Linked DNA regions of Caenorhabditis elegans. The protein of the gene in region 3 interacts with the protein of the main gene of each other region in a pairwise test. Each region holds a gene or a part of one and is shown on either strand. Other genes may lie near its edges. The genes, in order: npp-9, R07B7.2 and mett-10.

Region 1 (8,210 bases), 6.7 Mb from region 3:
TTATTATTTGAGGGGGCGGGACTTATTTGTCTGACACGGTTTTTCCGCAACCCTACCGCACTTGCGGGTTTTTTCTTTTTTTTGGTTTTTCAGTGTTTTAAAGCCTAACTTGTTAAGAAAAAACTTTTTTTTTGCAGTATTTCTACGGAACCCGTGCCAACAATCTCTACCCATTCACATTTGACGTCAGCTTCGATGACGTCACTCTTTGTAAAATCGGAGCCGAGCAACTGCCCGATTCATGTCTACCATTCGGAATGGAAGTTGAAAATCATGAGACAAAGCTGGTTATCATGGAGCCCAGTGCCGACATTAAACATCATTTGTTCGCGTTCTCGCGGAGCACGAAAGCCGACGAAAATGTGCTGAAATCGCCGGTTTTTGGATTTTGTCTTGTCACGGAGGTTGGTATTTCGTCGAGTTTTTGGGTCTCGAACGGAAATTTCAATTTTATCCAAATTTCAGGTTGATTTGGAGAAGCGAACAATGTCAATTCTCTGCCCACAGCGTACAATTCCATCGAAAGTTCTCGTCTTCTCAGATATCACCCATCTTGATGATCAAATAAAACGATAATTTATTTCTTTTTTTTCCTAATCCCTATTTATTTGTTTCCCGCCCTCAAAATAAATCTCATTCTTCAATGCATTCACAATTTATTGGATTGTCACCAGTGGGGAAAAATCGATGCCGGGACAATGTGAACAATATAGTTAAGTTTTAAAGACAAAAATTATGAATGATAGTGTGTGGGGGGTACTTATGAGAACAATGGGATTTTGAGAGAGATGGGGGGGAAATAAGGAAATTATTTTTTTAAAAACCTTACCAGACAAATATAAACTACACTTAAAGGACTATAGATGACAGCAGATGGGGATGAATAAAACTAGGTTCATAAATAAAATTGGTGGTGGGGAATACTAACACAGAGTGCTGGGTGGGGAGGAATAACAATAATAAAATAATTTAAATAATCAGCAGAGGATTACATCTTCGATTGAGCATCCTGAACAGCCGTCTTGAATGCTCCGGCGGTCGCCTCGTCCTTGAATTTGGCGGTGAAGATGGCTGGATCAGCGTTGGAGGCGTCTTCTGAGAAGTCCTGAAAAATAAGGAATTTATAGTACATTTTTATATAAAAAGAAATTAAAAATTGCTACCTGGCACATAAATGTGAGCACATTTGGCAAGTTTGGCTTCGGACTGAGCTTCATCGACTTTTCGATACGGAAATTGGCACAGAGCTTATGGACTTGCTCACGACGCATCACGATTCGATATTTGTTGTCATTGCTTTTCAGGAGCTGAAATAATAAATTATTTTTCTCAAATTTAGCCTCTATGAGTCAAAAATCAGTTGTTTTCTTAATAGTTTTCATTAAAATTTAGTGAAAAAACATAGAAAATACTTGCAAAACAGTTGAAAAGTGCGCAAAACTAGCACTTTTCTTAACTGTTTCAACTGAAATAAGTTATTTTCTACGTTTTATCACTAAATTTTAATGAAAACTATCAAAAGAACATGCCAAGCTGGCTCATTTTGATATAAAATCCTAAATCTGACCTTAATATCTCCGAGTCCACGTTCCTTATTCTCCTTGAGATCCGAATAGTACTTATAAAGCTTGCATCTGGCGGAGAACATGACCTCCTCGTCCTCTTCACCAGTTTTCACCTCAACCAAATCCGGAAGAGGAATAACTGGCTTAAACTCGACTTCTGGCTCATACTCCCCATCTCCATCCTCATTCGTCTCATCACCATCGTGTGAAGTTGCAGAAGTCGTGTTCAACGTGGTGTTCTTGCTCCCGAAAATGCTTGCCTTCTTCTGAGCAGCAAGTTCTTCTTGGGCCTTCTTGACATTTGCTGCGTCGAAAATGGAGCCAGATTTGGCAGAGTTGGCTGAAAGGGCAGCGAATGTTGCACCTCCAGACGTGAATCCACTACCGAACACGGATTTTGGCGTCTCGGACTGTTTATTTTCTTCTTGTTTAGCTGGTGCAGTCGTTGATGGAGTCTGTTGCTTTCCGAATGAGAAAGTTGGCTTTGGGAAGGCACTTTCAGAATTCTTGGCGAACATAAACGACGGAGTAGTAGTTGAAGAAGCTGTAGATTCAGTCTTGGAGAGTCCACCTCCGAACAATGAATTTCCTGGAGTCGTAGAGGTTGCCGGAGAAGCAGTTGAAGCTGCAGGATTGTTGAAATTGAACGATGGGGTAGTTGCATTGACAGCGGCAGCTGGCTTGTTGAATGAGAAAGTTGGAGTATTAGCAGCACCTCCACCGAAAACGCTTGTTCCCTTTGGTGTTCCACCACCGAAAATGCTACTGCTAGTGCTTGGAGATCCGCTGAGTGATCCACCGAACTGAGATGTTTGAGCAAGAGGTTCCTTGGCTGGAGCAGATGCTCCGAATCCGAATGTCACTTTTGGAGTTCCTGGGGCAGGCTGGAGGATCGAAGGTCTGCAAATTTAAATTTTTAATTTTAAGATAACTCAAATAGAATATTTACTTAGAGAATATATTTTTCTCTTTGACAGATCCGTCTTTCGATGTCCCACAACAGGCACATTCAATCTCGTCAGCTTTGCAAGTAACATAGCATCCAGGGCATTCCCAAGATCCTGGTTTTGGCTTGAACTGATCTCCAAATCCAGTCTCTTCCGGTTTGTTGTTTGATGGAATCACAACTTCTTGCTTGACTTCCTTCTTCACCTCAGCCGCCGGCTTGATTTCCTTGTCGATGGTCTTTCCAGCGTTGCTCGATGATTTTGCCTCAGCGACAGCCTTCTCGAACAAAGTCTTAAACTCTCCAGCGATATCGACGTTAGCGAAACGAGCGGAAAGCTTCACGTGAGCTGGCTGATCTTCGGAAAAGTCCTCGCAGAACCATGTGTAGGCCTTCTCGTTGGATTTCATTTGTTGAATGGTCATCGAGCCGAGAATTGGGAAATTGGCACAGACTTTGAGAACCTGTAATTTATTTTAATGCTAAATTAAGGTATTTAAATTTAAATTAAGATCTTTCTGTTGAGGAAAACGCCGAAAAATGTGAAAAAAGCTGTAATTGGAATAACCTGAATATTCCAACACAATTCTTCGGTTCCATTCTCAATATTTGAAGGGAGTGTCTCCTCCGAAATGGTCACCTGGTCTCGTCGCATAACAACTCTCCACGACTTCTTGTCCTTGTTGTAGAGAACCTTCAGCTCGCCGGTTCCTCGCTCCTTCCATTCCTTCGTCTCGTTGGCATAAATGTAGAGTTTTGAACGATTGCAGAACATGGTTTGCTCTCCTTCTTCTCCAGTTTTCACCTCGACAAGATCTGGCAGTGGAATGACTGGCTTGAACTCGCCCTCTGGCTCGTAATCCTCATCATGTTCTTCGTCTTCATCATCTTTAGCTGCTGGAACCACGACTGGGGAAGCAGTTTCAGGCTTTTTACCGAAGATTGAAGTAGCTGGATTGGTCCCGCCGAATGAGAATCCGGTGGTGGCTGGCTTTGGAACAACTGCAGGCGTTGGAGTAGAGAATGTTGGCTTAGCAGGTGGAATTACAACTTCTGGTGGAGATGTCTGAAAAATATTGAATTTTTAATTGCTGGAACTAAAACCCGAAAATTTGTTACCTTTGGTGCAATAACTCCAGAAGCTGGAACTGTCGATTTTGCTTGTGCTGTAGTGGCGACCAGTGGCTGTGTAACGGGAATAGCTGGCTTCGCAGCATTGAGCAAATTAGCCATAACTTGGCTTTGGGCCTGTGCTTGGGCTTGAGCTTGAGCGTGAGCATGAGCTTGAGCTTGTGCTGCCTGCACATGAGCCATCTCCATTTGTCGCTGAAGAATCAACATTTGCTGTTGTTGCTGAAGCTGCTGTGGAGGAATCATTGAGCCGAGAGGATTCGCATCACGAGCAAGAAGAGTGTGTATAATTTGATGAAGTCTCTCGAGCTCTTTTCCGTGATTAGTGCTCAAATCGGACAACTGCTTCTGAAACCGATCCTCGGATCGACGAATATCATCGCGAAGCTGGGTGACGCCGGTCTGGTGCTCAATCTGTGAAAAATAAGTATTAAATTGAGTTTTTCATGAATCGCATACCTTCAACGAGTCCATGCTTTTGATAAGCGAGTCAAACTGCATTGTCATCAACTGCTGCACATCCACGACGCTGGCGACAATGCGCCCCATATTCTGAAATACCGTGAATCATGTTGAGCAACATTCGAAAAGATTCACTTACCGGCTTCTGATCGCTCATTGCGAAAGGAGAGCTGAAATATGAAAAATATCAGGTAAACAATTCAAGAGACTTCAAGCTAAAGCGAGATAAAAAGACGAATACTGCGGTCTCTTTAGTTGAAAATTAGCAGCAATACTTCAAAGAATTCGCGCCAGGGATTTGAATTTCGAAATTTCGCGCCAACGCTTTCCCTGCTTAAAATAGGGCTTTCCTACCTTTAAAACTAGTCTTTTCTGTATAAAATATGCTTTTAAACGCACAAAAAATGTTTTCCAGCTATTTTTCGTAAAAATACGGAAAAACTATGGCGAAACAGTCTAAAATAAATAGAAATTGGGCGCCAAGCTTCGCAAATTTCGAAAAAAGTTCAAATTCCTGCGCCGTGGCGAGACCCGTTGCGTAAATCGACACGCGCGCCTTTAACCATGAGTTGGCAATTATTCATGGAAAATACCGGTTTTTCAGGCGAAAAACAGGATTTTTGATATTTTCCGTCGTTTTTTATGGCTTTTTCGGTTTTTGAAATGTCAATTTTGCCTGGAATAGCATTTATTATTCACTTTTCTCAGCGAATTTATTGATTTTTCATCAGAAACTTTCAAAATTGTGTTTTTTAGTGATTACAACAACAAAATGGAAGTAGACACAAGCTCATCGTCATCTTCAGAGGACGAATGTGACCCAAGCTCTCCGAGCACGGCATATATCCACTCAGCGTGAGTTTTTCGCTAAAAAACACAAAAAACAAACTGTTTTTTAAATGTTTTTGTTTCAAAATTAACATTTTCTGAAGTTCTAACAGCAGTTTCTAATCCGATTAATTCCAGAAGCGTACGATTATCCGTCGGAACAGAAGAAGCGGCTCGAACCGTGGCAGATGTCATAAAAATCGATAAAGAGCCGAGAAGAAGTGGTGCTCGACGGGAAGTGTGCAGCGAAGGCGAATTTGTAGTCATGTAATAGTTTTTCTATTCGAATAACTAAATAAATAAGTTAATTTTCAGAAAAATCGAATCAAAAGATCCGAAATCATTGTCAAAATCCATTGCCAACGCTGTTGATATGATCGATTTGTCCGTGAAAACTATCAAACTTTGTGAAAATCTGGGAAAATCGAAGGAAAACGGATTGAAAAGAAAACTCTCAAACGGATCTCAGGCTTAATTTGATTAAAATTTGTTATTTTTTCTGTTTTTGTTTTTTGAAATGAATTTTTTTCAACTTTTCATGATTTTTTCTTCTTAAAAATATGGTTTTTAACCTTTAAAATACTTTTTTTTTCGATTTTATTGCAAATTCCCCACTAAAAAATCGATTTTTTCAGGTTTAAATGTTCAAAAACCTGAAAAACCGGCTGGATAATGAAGCCGGAAAGCTTAAACAATCAGCTCAGCAGTATGGAGAACAACTCGCCGCTCAAGTTGGACAATATCGGCAGGCGATGGTAAAAATCCACTGAAAACTGAGAAAAAATCGATAAAATTGCAGAATGAGCAGCCTGCTGGCAGTGATGCATCCGCGTCGATTTCTAAAAGATTCACCGGAGAATCAGGAGAAACTAAAGCTGAAAATCCAGCAAATACCTCTATTGTGAGAGTTTTAACATGAAAAATTCTCGAAAAATTGAATTTATCGTCGAAAAACTATTATTTTCCAACCATTTTCGTGAAAATTTCCGGAAAAATGGATTTTTACTGTTGAAAAACAATTTCTTGTGAGATTTAGTTCGGAATCCAAAAAATGTACCAAAAACAGCAGAAATATGCGAAACAAAGAGATTTTTAAATAAAAATCTATTTCCAGCAGCTGTGAGACCGTTAAAATGTACGAATTTTAAGGTTTTATTAAAATTTTTCGCCATTTTTTCGAAGTTTTGCATCAATTTAATTGCAAAAAAAATATATTTTTTCCGCATCTAAATCACATTTTTGTATGTTTTCCATGTTTTTTACAAGAAAACTCAAAAAATACCAAAAAATATTTTTTTTTTCATTGGGAAAAACCATTAAAAATCAGAGATTTCGTTGAAAATGGTCACATTTTTACGAAAATGATCGAAAATGACTTTTTTTGTCGAAAAATTTAAAAAAGAGGAAATCCTGTTTCTCTTAAAAAAGAATTTTAAAAATTCAGAGAATATCGAAAATTAAAAAATGTAGAAAATTGATACGAAAATTAAATTTTTTTAAATAAAATTATGTTTATAATTTTTTTCTGAAAAAGAAAAAAATGTCAAAATTTGAGCTATTTTTTTCCAAAAAAATCGGAAAAATAAAAATTCGGTTTTCCCGAAAATCGATAAATTCGCAAAAAAAAAAATTTTTTATGAGAAAATTTTTTTTCTTCTGAAAAATTAGAAAAATGTCTGAAATTTAAGCTATTTTCAGGAAAATAATGAAAAAACGTTTTTCAATTAAACACACAATTTTTATCAATAAAACAGGAAAAACATGTTATTTTCATCTAAAAATAAGAAACAAATGGTCAAACATTTTGTAAAAATCTCTCTGAGACTCAATAAATTTCCAGGAATCCTCGTCAGCAATAATGTCTGAAATCCCTGAAGCTGATCTTCTAGGCCTCGGACTTTCATCAACTGAATCTCCATCAAATCGTCGACGTCGTTCACCATCTGAAGATTCAATACATTCAAATGAAAGTACACTTGCTGCATTACTTCAATCAATTCCAAATGCAATTTCATCTGCATTAGAAACTATTCCTTCTGACTCTGAAAGTGTTGCTAGTGATGCATTTTCTGTTAGATCTACTAATGATCCGGTTAGTAATGGAAAATATGAAATAAATCCATGTTTTATAGACTTTATTCGAAAATTAAATACAAAATTAACTAGAAATAACATAAATTTAAAAAAAAACCTTTTTTTTTTTTGAAAATTCTACTCGAAAAAAAAAAGATTGGTATTTAGAAAAGGATAATTTTTTTTTTACTGATTTAAAAAAAAATTCCATTTTAAAAAAATCAAAAAAAGTTACAAAAGTGTTGAAAACTAACCTGGGTGTCAAAAAAAAATTCTGAGACAGTTTTGAAAAAGAATCTACGAAAAAAATATTTTCTTACATATTTCCAAATAAAAAATTCCAAAAATGAAATTTTTATATTGAAAACGAACCGAAATTCAATTCACAAAAAAAGTAACGAAAATTTACGAAAAAATAACAAAAAAATACAAAAAACCCAAAATTTCCAAAATTTACAGCCCAGAATTTACAAAAAAAATACCCGAAAAATTTAGAGAAAATTAACTAAATTTACAAAAAAAACCAAAATTCAAGAAAAAACCAACAATTAAAAAAAAAATATTGTCAAAATTTACAAAAAGTAACCAAAAAATTAAAAAAACTAAAATTTACAACAAAAAAATAACCAAAATTCACGAAAAAATAACCTGAAAATTTCAAAAAAAGAAGACAAAAAGTTACGAAAAATTACGAAAAAAATGACCAAAAATTGCTGAAAATAAAAAAAAAACAAAAAATATCCAAAATTCAGTTTGGGAAATTAATTTTAAAAAAAGAAAACAGAAAAATTTTGTAAAAAAAAAAAATTCAAAAGTGACTAAATTTTGCCAAGCCACTCGGGTTTTCATTAGAATTTTAAAGCATACATTTTGAAAAAAAGTTTTCAATTTATACCCAGAAATTTTTTGAAAAAAAAAAACTTTGAAAGGTTTTTTCAAGTTTTTTCAAGTCCAAACTGCACATTTAAGCTAAAAATAGGCCCTTTTCTCACAAAATCTCAATTTTACAGGCCTACAACTCTCGTCTGAAACAACGTTTGGCCACGTATAAAGCTAAATATCGTGATGCAGTACACCGTCATAATAAGCTCGTTGATGACGTCAATACAACACGAAAATTGCTCGAAACGACACAAGATGAATGCCTTCAAAAAGTGGAAAAACTGAGGTTGGAGAAACGAATTCTCGCTGAAAAACTCTCCAAC
Region 2 (8,210 bases), on a different chromosome or scaffold from region 3:
TACACAATCAAGGATACTCAGAAGCTGCGTAGTTGTCTACACACCTTGCTTCATTTTATAAATTTATAATTCCTTCTTCCATAAACACCATGTTTAATAAAATACTCCGCCATACTCATTCTATTCACATCCAACAATAAACATGTTGCGTGTCTATCGAAATTAGTTACTTCTCTTATGTCTACAATAAGTTCAGTTGGATTTATTTCAACATTTCAGATGACATCCCGTAACAGGGTGCGAACAAGTTCTAATAGGTAAGAGACTAAATATCACTTGACTTCTCGGAAATAATATTTTTCAGTCTGGATCCAAATGAAGATCCTGTGTCGGGGCTAGAACGAGTCATGTCAAACTCGAATCTAGAACACGTTGCTCGGCAAAGAAGACGACTAGTGCGGGCAAAAACCAGCAATTTTTTCTGAAAATCAAGTTATTTCAGGAGGAAGAGCTGTTATTCTCAAGGCAATTGGATGATGTTGGTCGAACGGATAGCCATGAAGCATTGTCTGCTAGATACGAAAGTCTGAACTATGAAATATCTGAGAATCGACTCTATAGAGATGCTGAAAAGAAACCATCTCACCAGGTTTTGAGATTTCATAGATACAGTAACAATGTCACTTTTCAGTTAACTCTTTGGCGAATTTCTCGAAATCGTTGGTTTGTATGCTTTTTGATTGGAGTTTTCACTGGACTCGTCGCTGCATTTATTGATATTATGGTACACTACAGTAAAGATATCAAATTTAACTGGATTCTCAAATATTGTCAGTTATACTTATCTAACTAATCTATTGAAAACGAAACATTCAGTGCTCTCAAAGTGTGGCGAAGAGCAACGTGGAACGACTGCAGGGTGTATGTGGACCGTAATGATAGCTTGGATAGGATATAATTGTGTTCTCGTAACTATAGCTGCAATCCTTGTGATTTATGTAGCTCCGATTGCTGGAGGTTCTGGAATTCCTCAAATAAAGTGTTATCTTAACGGAATTGCGATTCCTGAGGTGTCATTTCCAGCTCAAAAATTTCTGAAACTTTCGTTTTTTCCAGGTTGTTCGTCTCAAAACGCTCGTTTCAAAAGCAGTTGGAGTTGCATGTTCGGTTGGCGGTGGTCTTTGTGCTGGAAAAGAAGGTCCTATGATCCATTCTGGAGCTGCTGTAGGAGCTGGGATATCACAGGGAAAAAGTTATTCCCTTGGAATCGATTTCGGACTTTTCCGCGAGTTTAGAAATGATCGAGAAAAAAGAGATTTCGTTTCTGCTGGTGCTGCTGCTGGAGTTGCTGCTGCTTTCGGAGCACCAATCGGAGGAGTTCTATTCTCTTTAGAAGAAGGAGCAAGCTTTTGGAATCAAGCTTTGACATGGAGAATGTTTTTCTCTGCAATGATCTCTTCATTCACTGTAAATTGGATTCTCAGTTGGTTCAATGGACGTAGTGGATGGCTCTCATGGACAGGTCTCGCGAATTTCGGAGTTTTCGAAAATAAGGATTATAATATTTGGGAAATTCCTTTGTTTCTTCTCATTGGAATAATTGGAGGCTGTCTTGGAGCTTTATTCAATTATTTAAATACAAAACTCACCGAGTTCCGTAAAAAATATGTGAGCAGCAAACTGGGTCGTTTGTTCGAATGTCTTCTTGTTGCCGCGGTATCAGGATTTCTTGCTTTCCTCACAATATTCGCAATTGACGATTGTCAGCCGATAGGAGCGAATCCTACAGCAACATCAACACAAATCAATCAAATGTGGTGCAAAAAAGGAGAATATTCTGCAGTAGCTTCTTTATTTTTTCAAAATCCTGAAGAAAGTGTGAAGAGTATGTTTCATAGTCCGATAAGTAAGTTTGATCTTTCAAAAACATTTAAGATCCAAATATTTTCAGATTCTTTTGGTGTCACAACTCTTGTTATTTTTGGAATTGAATATTTCTTGCTCACTCTCTGGACGTTCGGAATCTCTGTACCTTCTGGTGTCTTCATTCCAGCTATTCTTACTGGTGCAGCATGGGGCCGCCTGTTTGGAATTTTTGTTGAACGACTTTTCCCTTCGGTTACTGGAATTGATCCAGGAAAATACGCATTGGCAGGAGCTGCCGCACAACTCGGAGGCGTTGTTCGAATGACAATTTCATTAACAGCTATTATAATGGAAGCAACTAAAGATATTACATTTGGATTACCTATTATGTTGGTGTTGATGGTAACAAAATGGGTTGGAGATATGTTCAATGAAGGACTTTATGATGCTCATATTGATTTAGCAGAAGTTCCAATTCTTGGTTGGAATCCACCAAAGATGAGCAGAAACATTTTGGCAGAGTTGGTTTTTTTGTTGTAACAATTCGAAAATCTTTTTTTAATTTTCAGCCGCGTGATGCGAAAAGATGTTGTGGCTCTAGAACGGCGAGAAAGAGTATCCAGAATCGTTGAAATTCTTCGTTCCACACTTCATCATGGCTTTCCAGTAGTAGATAGAATCGAAGAATCGCCATACGAATCACTCCCTGATTATGGACGCCTGAAAGGTTATATTCTGCGATCACAACTGTTCAAACTTCTGGAAAATCGAATTTTCGAGGAAGAAGGAGCTTCAAACTCTGCACTTCCAAATGATTTTTATGAATGCCAGGATGACGACGAGTAAGTGATTTATATTGAATAAAATACGAATTTTAAAACAGAAATTGTTTGGTATTCAACATACTACGAAAATATTATAATTCAATTGTTATATATTTTATTTTCAGCCAAATGAAATCTGTTGCTGAACTCGGATTAACAAATTTCGACGAGTCATGTTTCCTGGACATTGAGCCCTACATGCATCCTCATCCGCACCGTGTTCCACTGAACACATCTCTTCCATTCATTTTCCGACTTTTCCGTGGACTTGGACTTCGATACCTTTTTGTGGTGAACGATGATAATCATGTGAGGACGAACATTATCCAAATTTATTTTTTAGTATTGTTTTTCAGCTTCGTGGTGTGATTACTAGAAAAGATGTTGCCAGATTCCGTGAAAGACGCCGAAACCGCGAGTATCATGTTGATGAACTTTATATTTCTGAATCTTAAATGTTCTTATTCTCTTTCATGTTCTACCATTGCCATTTTGAAAACGTGTTTTTTAAGTCATGGAAATGCACAGAGAGTTTAAAAAATATGTTTGCGTTTAGCAAGATGTCGTTTGGTCTCTTTTGGGAAATAAACTGAAAAACTGAAATTTCGTTTGAAAAAATAAATCGCAACACTACGTTGCAAAATGTGAACTTATTTTGAAATTTTCTGTTCATGTCATAGACACTTTCTTAACAATTTTATTCTGTGATAAATCTTAATCGGTACGTTTGTCTAATGTGTTTTCCGGTATTTAATTTCATTAATTATACTCTCTAGAAGGCGTGAAATAATACCATTATGATTTTATAGACAATTATAATTTTATAAAGGAGCATCGGTAATTAGGATGTACAGAAACACAATATAATTTTTAAAAAGGGTTGAAAGTAAACTTTTTTCAAAATTTAGGTATTATTGAGCCAAAGATCGCATTCGTAAACTCTACAATACCTAAATTATGATGCGAACTAATGCAGGAAAACAGACCAGGACTTTTGTGTATTTAAATATGTTTTGAAAAACGAAATGGGTTACTGTAGCCGAGGTAAAAGTACGCAGAGTTGCGTCATATCCGTTGTAAATAATTCGCCAAACGAAAATTATTTTCTAAATTAGTTTTTAGGAACATTTTTGTTTGGAATTTTGTATGAAACCATTTCACAAACCCTCATTTGATTTTTAATAAATTAATAATCATTATAACGCTTCAGATGAGTGCTTCTGACGGTGATAACACAGAACAAACTGGACGACGTCGCAGTTTTGGGAACTTGTTTGGATCAACACGTGTGCCTTTTTCCTCACTTTCCGATATTTATGCAAATCAAAGTACGTTCGCAAAAGATCAAGGAGTACAATCTGAAGTCGACGTTGCTGATGCCTGGAGCCAACATCACGCTCCAACAAGAGATCAATATGTCCAATCAGAAATTATCACGGCTGTGGAAACTTCAAGCCAATACGAGGTTCAAACAAAGGATAAGGAGGTGGAAGCCATTTGTTCAACGGCGAACAGAACAACACAAACTTGTCATGCAACCAATATCGCCGGTACAAATTCAGAATCTTGTTTAATCGAAAAATTGGCAAATTCACTTTTGGAACATCTTCAAGCTCGCCGGCCCATCAAAGCTCGGACAGCATTTCCAATTTATCTCCAGCAACCTGAACAACTCCAGTTGCTTCCTCCACCAGATCAGCAATCCGCGCCTGTGCCGCCGAGTCATCCGTTGCAAAATTCTGAAGGTAACCCACTTTAATATTCGAACTTTTTCCCATATTTTAATTCGTCCTACGCTCAGGTGCATACATTGAAAATAGGAACATCTCTTGTATATGTCCGCAAAATATTGAAAATATTTCTAATACTCATCATAAAATTAAATTTAAGCTCGTCAAGAGGATCTCGAACAAACTGAAATGCCACAAGCTTCGCAACAAATTGGAATTAATGAGACCAGTCTCAATGATGCCGATTCTCAATCGTTTTTCCATTCGAGACTTCATCAAACGGAACAGAGAGAAGGTATAATTGGCAATAGAGCTTACTAATATAAAATAAATCAATTATTTTGAGAGTAGTAATTTACAGAAACAAACTCAAACAGCATGCAGTCAATTCATTCACAGGTTAATCCACCAGCAAGTCAAGAAACAATGGAAAGTCATTTCCCTGAAATGATCAATTCTCGTAAGTCAGACCATCAACTTTGCTTCTCGTTTAAAAAAGTAACTTCAGAGCGATGCTCATCATTCCCAACTCGACATGATGGATCTTCGCATTTTGCTCGTTCATCATCTGGCTTGCTCGGAAGTATGTCTTCACAGCAACAACGGTCCCAATTTCCTGTTCCCCAAGAAGAAGGAAATCAGGCTGAAGACATGCGAGGGGCTCAGCAACCACATAATGCTAGAAATTTGTTTGGAGGTGAAATATTTTATATTAAAAATGCACTTGGCTCTGTTCAGTTTCGTGTTCGGCTAAACTTATTCTAACAGACAATGAAGAAATTCAAAATTTGTCTTCCACTGCCACCAGAAATCAGTGAATTCAATAATTTTATGAATTGACCAGCCGTGGACCGCACCTCCGGCGCGGCTCCCGACCTCTTGGAGCTAAAAACTAATGTTTCTGAAACTACCGTAATCATGCAGTACTCCTACCGTATCACTATTGTACCACTACAGTAACCCGACTATATCCTTACACTAACCTCAACTCACTATCCCTCCAGAAGCTAAAATTTCGCAGACTACAAAGACTACATAGACTACAAACTATGGACAAACGGAATAAGCGCTTTATATATATATATATATTAGTAAATGATAGTAATTAATTAATTTTCAGGGGTCGGAGGGATGTTTCCATCAATGCCGAATTCCTCGGGAGGACAGGGACCCGATTGGCAAAATAATCATTTCATTCGCCCATTCGGTCAACCTGCGGCTGGCATGATGAGTTGGCATCCAGGAATGATGCCATCTCGTGAGTATAAATTTTGACTACCTCTAATTATAGTCAATTAAACTACTTATGAGAAATTACACGTTTTAGATATGAATAACTCCGCGGCTCCATCTTCTTTTTTTGAATCTCCGTTCATGCCGCCATATGATGTTTTTATGCAGCAGCAGATGCTTCTACACTCTCAATACGGTTCGCTCAATTTCTGCAACTTATAGTAAAGGTATATGTTACAATTTCAGCGGCGTGGGAGCAACAACGGAATCATGCAATGATGTATCAAAATGCACAAAATCAAAATTCGGCGAATGTAAATCCTTCATTTGCCGATATCCCTTCTGCAGCGCCGATTTCTCAGCCAGAAGTCAATGTTAATGAAAACCAAATCGTTCCCGAAGAAACCGAAAGGCTTGAGGCTGATCTTGAAATCGAGAATACTGTCGATGCGATCATCGGTAATAAAAGTATAAATTACGACCTAACATAACATAACATAATATAACAGTAACAGATGTTGGATCCGTCAACCAAGCTGTATCTGGAGTCAATTCGATTGCTCGAGAAACAGAGGAAATCAATAATCAAGATGTGCGAAATGAGACACCAGTGGAAGATTTCGGATCCATAATATCAGCGATTTCTATAACTGAAAATAGAAACGAGTCTCCAATGCCAAGCGCATCTGAAACCGGTGAGGATCGAACACCAGTTGTTTAAATATAGGTTACACAATGTACACCAGGGATGTGTGGGATCTGGCTTTTTCGGCGAACGGAATTCGTCGTTTGTCGCTCAGTCCTGATGCGCCAAGTTATTTCTATATTATTTTATTTCTATTTTTCAGATGACACATCTCCACATACCTCGCGCTCAAGATATGGATCTTCTGTTGCCATTTCCACCGGTATGAAAAGAGCACGACTCGAACCATCACAATCTCCACCGGGCTCATCTCGCAAAAATTCAAGGAATGAGACGACCAAGAAAAATTCAAAAACTCCTTCTTCTACAATTGATAAAGAACCTACTTCATCAAAGAGGACAAGAAAAGGTATTATTGATTTCGAATTTATGTAAATAACCTTTATAAATTAACTACGTTTTTCAGCTCCAGCGCGCTACGAAGCGGAATGGAACGCCGAACAAGGAGGCGATACTCGTCGTGCAAAAAGGTGGTCAAAAGACTTCTATAAGGCTCCCAGTAAAAAGTAGATTTAATTTTTGAATAGGTAATAGTAAACTTTATTGTTTTTTGTTCATCATTCGTTGCCCATTGTTTCACCGATTTAAAAACGCGATTTCTCAAATCTCATTAATGTTTCCCTTTTTATTGCCAGATGTCTGGAAACCTAATGTTCCTTCTCCATTTTCTATGGTTTCTCTTGTTTTTTTTAAGTTTTTTTCTCATAATAAAGTTTTTTTCAAGCTCTGTCGTCCAAAGTAGTCTAGGTGTTCAGTGGAATTATTGAATGTAAGTTTCAGCGTCTTCAAGGGACATTGAGTGGGAATGGGGGAAGTGTTGGGTTACTGGTGCTGCGTTTGTATTAGAAATCAGAAAGTAAATTGAACGAAGAACAATTGTTTATTGGGTGAAATGTTCGGAATATAAATTTAATTTCGACATTAATCTATATACATAACCGTAATATTTAATTCTTTTTTCGAATTAATCAAGCAAATTGATGTTTCTTTTTCTCTTCTTCAATCGTCTCTCGTGTGACAAATGTGAATGATTGTGGTTTATCAGTTGCCATTGGAAAGAATAAAATATTGGCAATAAACATAAGTAAACCATTGAGAATATATACATGACCCCATTGAGTATGAGATGATTCATCTGATACAAATATGGCAACTGTTGCTGGAGCAGCAAATAAGGCAATACATTTCATAAATTGAATCATCGCAAGCACAAAGTGAGCATATTGACTGAAATTTGTTTATGGATAATTGCATGGTTTTCAGAATAATTTACAGTGAATTCATAATTTTCAGTGTTTAAATTTTTGGATTTGGACACAGTTGGAGTATCACCACTTAGGATTTTGTCTGAATGCACTCAAAATACTCAGAATTACCAAATTTCCTAGTTTTGGAAAATTACCAAAATAAAAAAGAGCTTTTGAAAAAATCCAAAGCAATTTCACAGGTTTCAACCCTTATTATATTCAAATAAAAGTTATTTGGCATTTTCTAAAGATTCTGTCATCCATTTGCAGTGATTACAGGATGTCTCATTACGGATTGATCTACAAAAAATGCGGGAATTCATTTTCCAATAAAATTTCACGGGCAAACCCTCATTTACTAGCGTGCTCATTTACTTGAAACGTCAGCACGCTTCTAATCATGCGGAATCAGTTTAGAAGTCTGCTTTTTAATACCGAAATTTTCGTAGACCTAGATCAAGCCGATATGGGACCCTCTGACACCACATGCGGTTGAAGAGAAAACTCGTAATACTTCGACCGCGAAATCATTTGTCCTAATTTTGGTAGAGTATTCTAAAGTTACAAATATGTAGGAAAACGTTAAGGAAACAATTTTTGTACAGTTAAAATTTTAAGTTTTGAAATTAAACCCACTTTTGTCATTCAAAAAATCACTACGATC
Region 3 (8,210 bases):
AATCTGGATGCCTGAAAATAAAGAATCAAATAAAAGCAGAAAAATATATAAAACCAAGGACTTGAAAAATTATTGGATACAAACCATGTTTAGATGAATAAATAAAAATATAAAAGAAACTAATTCATTCCAATAACAAAATATCTAAATTTAATTCTCCGTTGTCTTCTTTTTGGCTGAAAATCCAGCTGGGCCTCCTCTCTGCTCTAAAATGAATTCAAGAGTTTTTGGAAATAGCGCCCAGGCTTTGAACTTCAATCCCATATCGCCCATCAACATATTGTACGATTCTGTAATGAAATCAATTAGTTTTACATATTAAAAAGGTAGAATTCACCAATTAGTTGTTCTTGTTGTTTCCGGTCCTTACAAACTTGCAATAAGCGTCGTAGCCTGTGTTCAATTCCAAGTTGAGCAAGGAATTCTCTGGAAATTTTGGAATTATTATCAATTTAACTTTAATTTCCTTTAAACCTTTGCTCATTTGGTCCGTAGATAACAACACGATCTTTGACAAGAGTCGATAAGTATCCAAAGTCGACATCAGCAGTTAAATCTGCCAATCCAGGATTTTCCAGTGTATCAACTTGCTTGTGATTCTTGTATGCACGGAAAGAATGCGTGTTTCGAGAACCGTCATGCCCATAGTCGACTAGAAGAGAGAATCCTCCAAATGTTGTAATTCTATCAACGATTTGATTCACAACGGTTCCAGATTCAGGCGAGCATTCCCATGTTACACGAGATGAGTCATCACGAATTGCGGAAGGGATTAGTCCTCTGAAAAAAATATTTATATATCGGAAAAATATTTAAAAACGATTTTTTTTACTAACTTTGTATGTAAATTTTCTCCTTTAGATTTCATGAAACACAAATCCCCATCCTTCGTAAGATTTACGTAAACTTCGTTCCACGAGTCTCCCGATTTATGAAATTGATGAATTGGAAGAGCATCGAGAAATTCGTTTCCTATGAAGACAGTGAATCCGTCGGGAATATCATCAATCGATTTGTACCAGTAGATATTTACACCGGTCCGTGTTTTGTTTTTTCGGATGAATGGAGTATCTGAAAATATATAAAAATTTAAGTTTTTTTCGACCTGCAAAAGGATACCGATTGAATTTTTAGACGTATAAATACATAATGATTTTTCTTGCTCATCAATTAAAGCATCAGACGTCTCTACTAAATGAACAGACACATCTTTGTCGTTGAACTTGGCCAATGCGTTCAGAACATCATTCATCAGCTGAGCCCGTCCAGGTCCAAGCTCCACGAGCTGCCATGATCCTTTGTGTCCCGTATTTGCTAGCTCATGAAATACCCTGAAGAATAAACAGTTTTCCTCGTAAATTTACATCCATACCATACTCCGATCATTTCACCGAACAATTGAGTGAGCTCCGGGGAAGTAATGAAATCTCCTTTAGCGCCGAATACCTTAAAATATCTGAATTAACAAAGAATGACAATTTGGAGATGAGATAACCTTCTGATCTTTCGAAAACTGTCCGTAATATCCAACAAGAGGTGCGGAAACACAGGTCTTCATGTATTCAGCAACTGTGATCGGCCCGGAAACTCGAATTTTGTCCACAAGAAACTTCTTCAAGTGATTGGTTTTTTCGGGCGATGCATAACCGGGTGGTTTTAAGATTTGCTTCGAATATTGGCGTAGAGAATTAATCAGGATATTTTGAACACGTAACGACATCGCTCCTTCAATAAACAAACCGGAAACGGTGTGAAGAAAATAAAGAAAAAAAAGCAATTAATATTTTGCGCGTCAACTTCGCTGCCTGATCTGCATGTTACGCCGTGTGGTGTTTGCACAGGTAGGATTTACGAGATTTATTTAGTTTTTTTTTCTTGAATTTATGGATTTATGTATTTTCAAACCCTCGAAAACATATAATATGTGTCGTTTCCTCGTCTATTTTATAAATTAAATTGAAGAAATATATATATCATTATTTATATATCATGCTTTTATATTTCAGGATGTCACAAAACAACGAGATGCATCCTCGTAACCCTTATCGAAACAAGCCGCCGGATTTCAAAGCATTGGCAGTGGAGTATCCAGAGTTCCGCAAGTTTTGTCAATACGTGAGCAACGGAAAAGTTACGTTCGATTTTAAAAAGGATGCTGCTGTTCGCTGTCTCACTCAGACTTTGCTGAAAAAAGATTTTAATTTAGATGTAAGTTTTTTGAAACTTTTTGAAAACTAATTTTAAAAAACCATGTATGTATATATATTTATGTTTGTAGGTCGAAATACCACCAGGACATTTGGTTCCACGTGTTCCGCAAAAACTCAATTACTGCCTGCTCATCGATGATCTCCTCAAAGCGAATAAGCTAACGAAGAATGTGATTGGTATTGATATTGGCACCGGAACATCGTGTATTCATGCTTTAATAGGAGCTCGGCAGTTTAACTGGAAGTTCATTGCCACTGACGGAGATGAAAAATCAGTTCGTGTAGCTCATGAAAACGTGGCAAAAAATGGGCTGAGCAGTTCAATTTGTGTAGTTCATGTGAATCCCGATGTTAAAACAGTGCTAATGGTAATTAAACTTTAAATTTTAATTTAATTTATAACAAAAAAAAATGTTTTGTAGGATGTAGTCAACACGATTCCGGATACAGATTATGCATTTTGTATGTGTAATCCTCCGTTTTTCGAAAAAGGAAATGGCGATGACAAGTTTTGTGAAGATATCTCATCATCCACGGAAACATATTCAAATCGTGTTGCTTCTGAATTCCGAACCGCTCCTCACTCTGCTACCTTCGCCTCAAGTGCAGAATTATTTGTTGATGGAGGCGAAGTAGCTTTCGTTAATAGGATTATTGATGACAGTGTGCTTCTACGGGATAGAATCAAGTAAATTTCGAATTTTTTAATATTTATATGAATATTATACAGCATTTCAGAATCTACACAACAATGATAGGTCGAAAGTCTAGTCTGAAGCCCCTGCAAAATCGTCTGCAACGCTTCGGAGATGACGTTAAAATTATGATTTCTGTGCTGAATCAAGGAAAAACGAAGCGCTGGATGTTGGCATGGACATTTTCAAAATCTGTATCTCTTACAACAATTGTTAGTGATTTTTTTCCTTCAAAAAAATTAATCGCGCTTGGTTTACAGGACCGTCCAATTTCATTTCAATGTCCAAAGCCTGGATTAACGAGGTTAATGCAGGAAATAAGTATATTAAATGGACGTTTGAGGCAAGAAGATACATTAGCTATTGTTGCTGAGTTCAAATGTGTGACATGGACAAATCAAAGAGCCCGGAAAAGAGCAAAAGCTATTCTATCAGAGTCTAGCATCAAAAAAGCAAAGTGGAACTTCTCAAACGTGGCTTGTCAAGTAGCTTTTGGAGCTGGAGATGGAAAAGATTCATACACAGACGCTGGAAACTTTGTGTCTTCTGAATCGATACCAACGAACAATTTAAATGCGTGGGATAACGCTTCGCAAGCGTACTTTCCTTTGCCGAATGGTGAAGTTCCTGGCCCGATCATTCGAATACGTATCCAAGTTTTTTCTGAAGATTCTTATGATTCGATTTCATTTGAATTAATATCCGGTTCAAAACAACACCTTCATCAACTAGTGCAGTATTTGAAAAATTTAATATGCCGATAAATAGCATAATTTTATTTATTCAATATTTATACCAATTTTGGTTTTTGTGAGATAATAAGAGCTTTAATTTATTTTTCTCTAGTGAAACAATTTAGTTTTATAAAAAGCAAGTATATCGGTTCATCTTCATATTCAAATTTAAAAAAGAAACATTCAAGGAGTTCTAGTGAGTACATCATCATCGTCGTATGTGTCTGTTGGAACTTCGTGGTTGCACAATTCCCTGAAATTTCTCTTGAAAACCTTTTCTAGGACCGTCTACTCACTCTGCCTCATCTACTGGATTCACTGGACTCAGATCCCACAACCAATGGAGAATTCGATGATATTCTGAAATTCGGAAAAATTATTACAAATTCCAAAAAATTGCATACTTTCTGGTTCCATATTGATATGAGCTTCCCTGTGACATGACCAGCTCGAAAATTCAACTAATTCGTGACTAGAATTCTCATCTGATAATTTATCCATTTCCGTTGATCCTGTGAAAATTGTATTCATAGATTGAATATGATAACGGCTGTAAATAAGAGAATATTAGACATTGATAAATTAATAAAAATATACCTAAAATCAAGAGCAAAGTGAAGAGATGGAAGATCCATGGAAGGGATATGATCAAGTTGCTGAAATAGAAATATTTACGGCTAATATACATTAAAATCCATAGATCTAGAGACTCACAACAGTTCGGGTATTCATCACTTTCTGTACAGCACTCAAATAGTCTTCAACACAAATCACACGACTCAAACAAATTGATACGGTTATACGATTGTTGATCACAGTTCGCATTTCGTTGATTTTACGCAAAAATTCTAGAACTTGAGTAAGCTTGTTGAGTGGCACAAGGAGTAGAGAAAGAAGGCATCCATCGAGAAAATGATTCCACGTGCGGAACATTGAATTCGAATCTTTTGGAATTGATGGATTCCAGTACACACGACGCATTCGGTGACTTTCTAAATATTTCATTTCGAGAAACATTGAGGCTTAATGTATTCTGGGGATGCACAAAATCAGAATTTTGAAATTAAATGGCATTCGCGCTCCTCCCCCATAATTTTGGTCTCGTTAGGTATTGGCGGAAAACCAATACCTAACGAGTCCCATATTATTATATAAGGGACGTTTTCATTTGGCGTTGGAGCTTCACTTTGATTTCAAATTTCACACTCACGAAAGTTCTCTACACTCTCCATTTCAAAGCTTCTAGTTTTCGACGGAAAAACCCGCAAAATCGAGCTAATTTTCCCATTTTCCATAGAAATTGACACAATTTCCGAAGGAATTTTAGAGCCATCATCCAGTTGAAAATGCTCATCAGATGGAACAACAAGACAAAATCTACGAAGATGCAAATTCTCGAGCGATTTTTCCTCTAGAAACAGGAGCTTATCCTCGAGCAGCTGACGGGCTTCATCTCTACGCATCCCGTGAACCCTCTCACGATCGTAAATTTCCTGAATTTTGACTTTAGGTCTCGTTGGGATTAATTAAAGAATACCTGCAAAAGTCTAGAAGCTCTGAATGGTACAACCTTTGGAACTGTGACCAACTGCAAGTCAACAGTCTGATCCACGTTTTCTAGGCCTTCCATCTGAATTCAATTTGTAGCATAATAAATTTATTGTTTTATTAAATACTCAGCTGCAAAATTTTGCGAAAAAACTACGATACCCGGTCTCGCCACGACTAATTTTTGTTTAATGCGAAAAGGTGTGCGCCTTTAAAGGGTACTGTAACTTCAAAATTTTGTTGCTGTGGAATTTGTACCCATTATTCATAGTTCGTTAAAATTTGATGTGTTTTTAAAAACATTATTATCGAAAACTATGAAAGATTACTGAAAAGTGCGCAGCAATGAAAGGTACAGTACCCCTTAAAGGCGCACACGTGTCGAGACCAGGGCTCGCGCAAAAACCACAAAACTTCACATATGAGTAATAATAACTTCAAAAATATTACTCTTTGCCGCCGATTCTTCTTTCGCGCTCCACGTCTCTTTTTGTGAACACCTCCTGGACCTTCAGCTTCTTCGTTTGGCTGTAAATCAGCTCAGAGATCAGTTGTACATACAGTATCCACTGCTTACCTCAACATCTTCCTCATCAATATCATCAAATCCTGTGTATTGAATGATTCTTCTGCCTTCTGTTAGATGTACGCTCATTGTCGAGCAATAAGCTTTTTACTAACTGATTTTGAAGTTGGAAAACCGTGTTTTAAAAAAAAATAAAAATCTAACAAGGTAAGTTCACGTTATATTTTTATTCATGAAACATAGTTAAACCGGTATTTAAAAACAACAAAAAAATAAATAAATTGTTTAACACGTTAATTCCTGATGGCCCGTTTCCTGTTCGGTTTGATTGGAAGATTGGCAATCGTGAACGCTGCTTTGCAAACTTTGCATATTGGAGTATATTGGCAGAGGACTGAAAGACAGATGGAGCACACCCAACCGGAGGATACAAGCTGATGATGACACGCACAGGATGCTCGATAATCGACTGACTGAAAATTATAAACTATGAGTTGGTTCCAGTCGTTGGTTTTGGCTTACATTATGAGAAAGCTTCGAGAATACTGCACGGTGAGTTGGATCGGTTAGCATATTAGTCTGGAATCAAATAATTAATATGAAGATCAAAAATCTGTGAAACTTACCATTAAAATTTTCAATAAAGTCTGTGGTTTTTTGGCATGTAGAAAAGATCCGCCAGTAATATCTGCTGCCTGTTGAAGGATTCCACCAGTAAAATCATCTCCCATCGATACAACATCAACGCAGATTGACTGTTTTGCAGCAGAGAAGAACAAATTCATTAACGATCCGTGTTCGCTTCCCATGATAGGAGTAATTGATATCACTACTGCTCTATTCGTAGCCTTTTCAGATGCGGTTTCCGATTGTTCTGATGTAGTCTGAGGTCCAAGAGAATCATCACATGGATCAGCAGTTACTACTCGGCTGTCTTTTTTCATATCTGAAATGTCGAAATATAGCTTCCGTTTTTATATATTTTTTTGTTAATTGGAAGTTCCTCCAACTCACGGCAAAAAGCATGAGCCAAGGCAGGTCCTAGAGGTGCTCCAATAGTTGCATCATTAGTTAATGCATCACTACTCAATAGTTCCCGCAAACGCTTCACAACAAGAAACGAAGCATTCCGATCTTCACATCTTGTAGAAGAATATATCATTTTGTTATCCACATTTCGTCCGTATGCAAAAACTAGAAGCTGATTATTTGCAGATTGTCCTAGATGAGCATTGCAGAATGATACCTAAAAATAAAATTTTTGATGAAATCTTTTAGCGGAATCAAATCAAACATACGATTGCTCGTAGAATAATTCCAATTGTTCGATCACCGTGTGCACTTGCTAGCATTCCCCATGAGCAAGATGATGTTTCGATTAAGACCGATAGTGTGCTCATCTGGAATTATTTAAAAATTATTTCATTTATACTTGGATAATTGACATTAATTTACGAAATCGTCAGACATTTGGAAACGTTAAATAAATGCTGGCCTAGAAAACGAACATTGCGGCCTTGCAGGGCAGAGAAAATCGATAATGAACACTCACACCGCTCCGTGTGCTCCTCTAGCTCTTTCTGGCTGCACATCTAACAATTATTAGGATTTTTAATTTTTTTTTCCCTTTAAATTGAGAAAAAATACTATTAAATGTTGTCGTATCCTTAATAATTAATTATTTTTCACTTCAAGAATAGAGAAATTCATTATTTTAAAATTAATTAATTATTATTAAGAAAAATATTGATTCTAAAAAGGAAAACAACTCGAATTAAATTTGAAAAAAAGAAAAAAAAGAATAGAAACACACATTAAAGGGTAAGTTGTCCCGATGCGGTGCGGGTCTCGTCACGATTTCAACAAAAGCTGCATGCGCCTTTAAAATAGTACCGTATTCGTATCGACTTTCTCTCATTTTTGAATAATTTCTCGCTTCATTTTTCTTGTGTTTAAACATGTTTTAAGACAAATAACTTATTATTTTTATCTTTCTGGCTATTTGTTTTGAAAAAATCTTCATATTTTTCAGGAATGCAAACTCAAGCGCGGCCACCAGTTCCGCAGGGGCCAAGATTCAACCATCCGGTAAACTTTTAAATCGTTTTTCTTTTAAAAATACCTTTTTGATTTACAGGCAACACCACAGCAAGTACGTCGGCCGATTAACGCGCCGTTGCCTGGACAAACCGCTCAAATACAGGGAAACCGGGGCCCACAGCCTCCGAAAAAGAAAAAGCGATATGCCGATAAATTAATTCAACCAAAGGTAAATATACTTGAAAACTTTCGAATTTTCCTTTAAAAAAATAATAAAATAATTTCAGGTTCGCGAACTGGTTCCCGAATCACAAGCCTATATGGACTTGTTAGCATTTGAGCAGAAGCTTGATTCAACAATTACAAGAAAGAAGATTGATGTTCAAGAAGCTCTGAAAAGACCCCAAAAAATCAAGAAACGTCTTCGTATATACATATCACACACATTTATAGCTGG

Evidence for each region.
Region 1: the proteins of mett-10 (region 3) and npp-9 interact in a two-hybrid assay, tested with the Caenorhabditis elegans proteins (one large-scale study listed by BioGRID).
Region 2: the proteins of mett-10 (region 3) and R07B7.2 interact in a two-hybrid assay, tested with the Caenorhabditis elegans proteins (one large-scale study listed by BioGRID).

What each region holds. Positions count from the first base shown.
Region 1 is NC_003281.10:3,400,003-3,408,212, forward strand, and holds npp-9 (Nuclear Pore complex Protein), read right to left. Parts: upstream 4,275-8,210; 5' UTR 4,262-4,274; coding exon 4,244-4,261; intron 4,195-4,243; coding exon 4,102-4,194; intron 4,057-4,101; coding exon 3,631-4,056; intron 3,578-3,630; coding exon 3,080-3,577; intron 2,976-3,079; coding exon 2,515-2,975; intron 2,466-2,514; coding exon 1,568-2,465; intron 1,308-1,567; coding exon 1,164-1,307; intron 1,106-1,163; coding exon 989-1,105; 3' UTR 642-988; downstream 1-641. Other genes in the region: Protein clpf-1, read left to right, coding at 138-404, 466-576; F59A2.5 (L antigen family member 3), read left to right, coding at 4,877-4,959, 5,071-5,199, 5,248-5,407; golg-4 (GRIP domain-containing protein), read left to right, coding at 5,574-5,687, 5,732-5,833, 6,773-7,024, 8,016-8,210.
Region 2 is NC_003283.11:12,055,378-12,063,587, reverse strand, and holds R07B7.2 (PUM-HD domain-containing protein), read left to right. Parts: upstream 1-3,838; 5' UTR 3,839-3,840; coding exon 3,841-4,375; intron 4,376-4,520; coding exon 4,521-4,655; intron 4,656-4,721; coding exon 4,722-4,820; intron 4,821-4,868; coding exon 4,869-5,057; intron 5,058-5,480; coding exon 5,481-5,618; intron 5,619-5,687; coding exon 5,688-5,789; intron 5,790-5,839; coding exon 5,840-6,061; intron 6,062-6,102; coding exon 6,103-6,288; intron 6,289-6,441; coding exon 6,442-6,648; intron 6,649-6,705; coding exon 6,706-6,809; 3' UTR 6,810-7,026; downstream 7,027-8,210. Other genes in the region: clh-6 (Chloride channel protein), read left to right, coding at 220-257, 305-395, 443-589, 632-770, 817-1,010, 1,057-1,846, 1,892-2,327, 2,376-2,648 and 2 more; F10C2.7 (Major facilitator superfamily (MFS) profile domain-containing protein), read right to left, coding at 7,268-7,526.
Region 3 is NC_003281.10:10,113,036-10,121,245, forward strand, and holds mett-10 (U6 small nuclear RNA (adenine-(43)-N(6))-methyltransferase), read left to right. Parts: upstream 1-2,000; 5' UTR 2,001-2,007; coding exon 2,008-2,208; intron 2,209-2,278; coding exon 2,279-2,578; intron 2,579-2,632; coding exon 2,633-2,898; intron 2,899-2,948; coding exon 2,949-3,117; intron 3,118-3,165; coding exon 3,166-3,669; 3' UTR 3,670-3,831; downstream 3,832-8,210. Other genes in the region: nuaf-7 (Protein arginine methyltransferase NDUFAF7 homolog, mitochondrial), read right to left, coding at 151-290, 338-426, 475-780, 837-1,071, 1,120-1,331, 1,373-1,446, 1,496-1,720; ZK1128.3 (uncharacterized protein), read right to left, coding at 3,932-3,999, 4,044-4,189, 4,237-4,295, 4,354-4,631, 4,850-5,132, 5,177-5,269, 5,638-5,715, 5,765-5,842; gtf-2H3 (General transcription factor IIH subunit 3), read right to left, coding at 6,007-6,186, 6,236-6,292, 6,340-6,659, 6,728-6,959, 7,012-7,113; ham-3 (SWI/SNF chromatin-remodeling accessory subunit 1), read left to right, coding at 7,748-7,801, 7,851-7,982, 8,041-8,210. UniProt on the Caenorhabditis elegans protein: RNA N6-methyltransferase that methylates adenosine residues at the N(6) position of a subset of RNAs and is involved in S-adenosyl-L-methionine homeostasis by regulating splicing of S-adenosylmethionine synthase transcripts (sams-3, sams-4 and sams-5).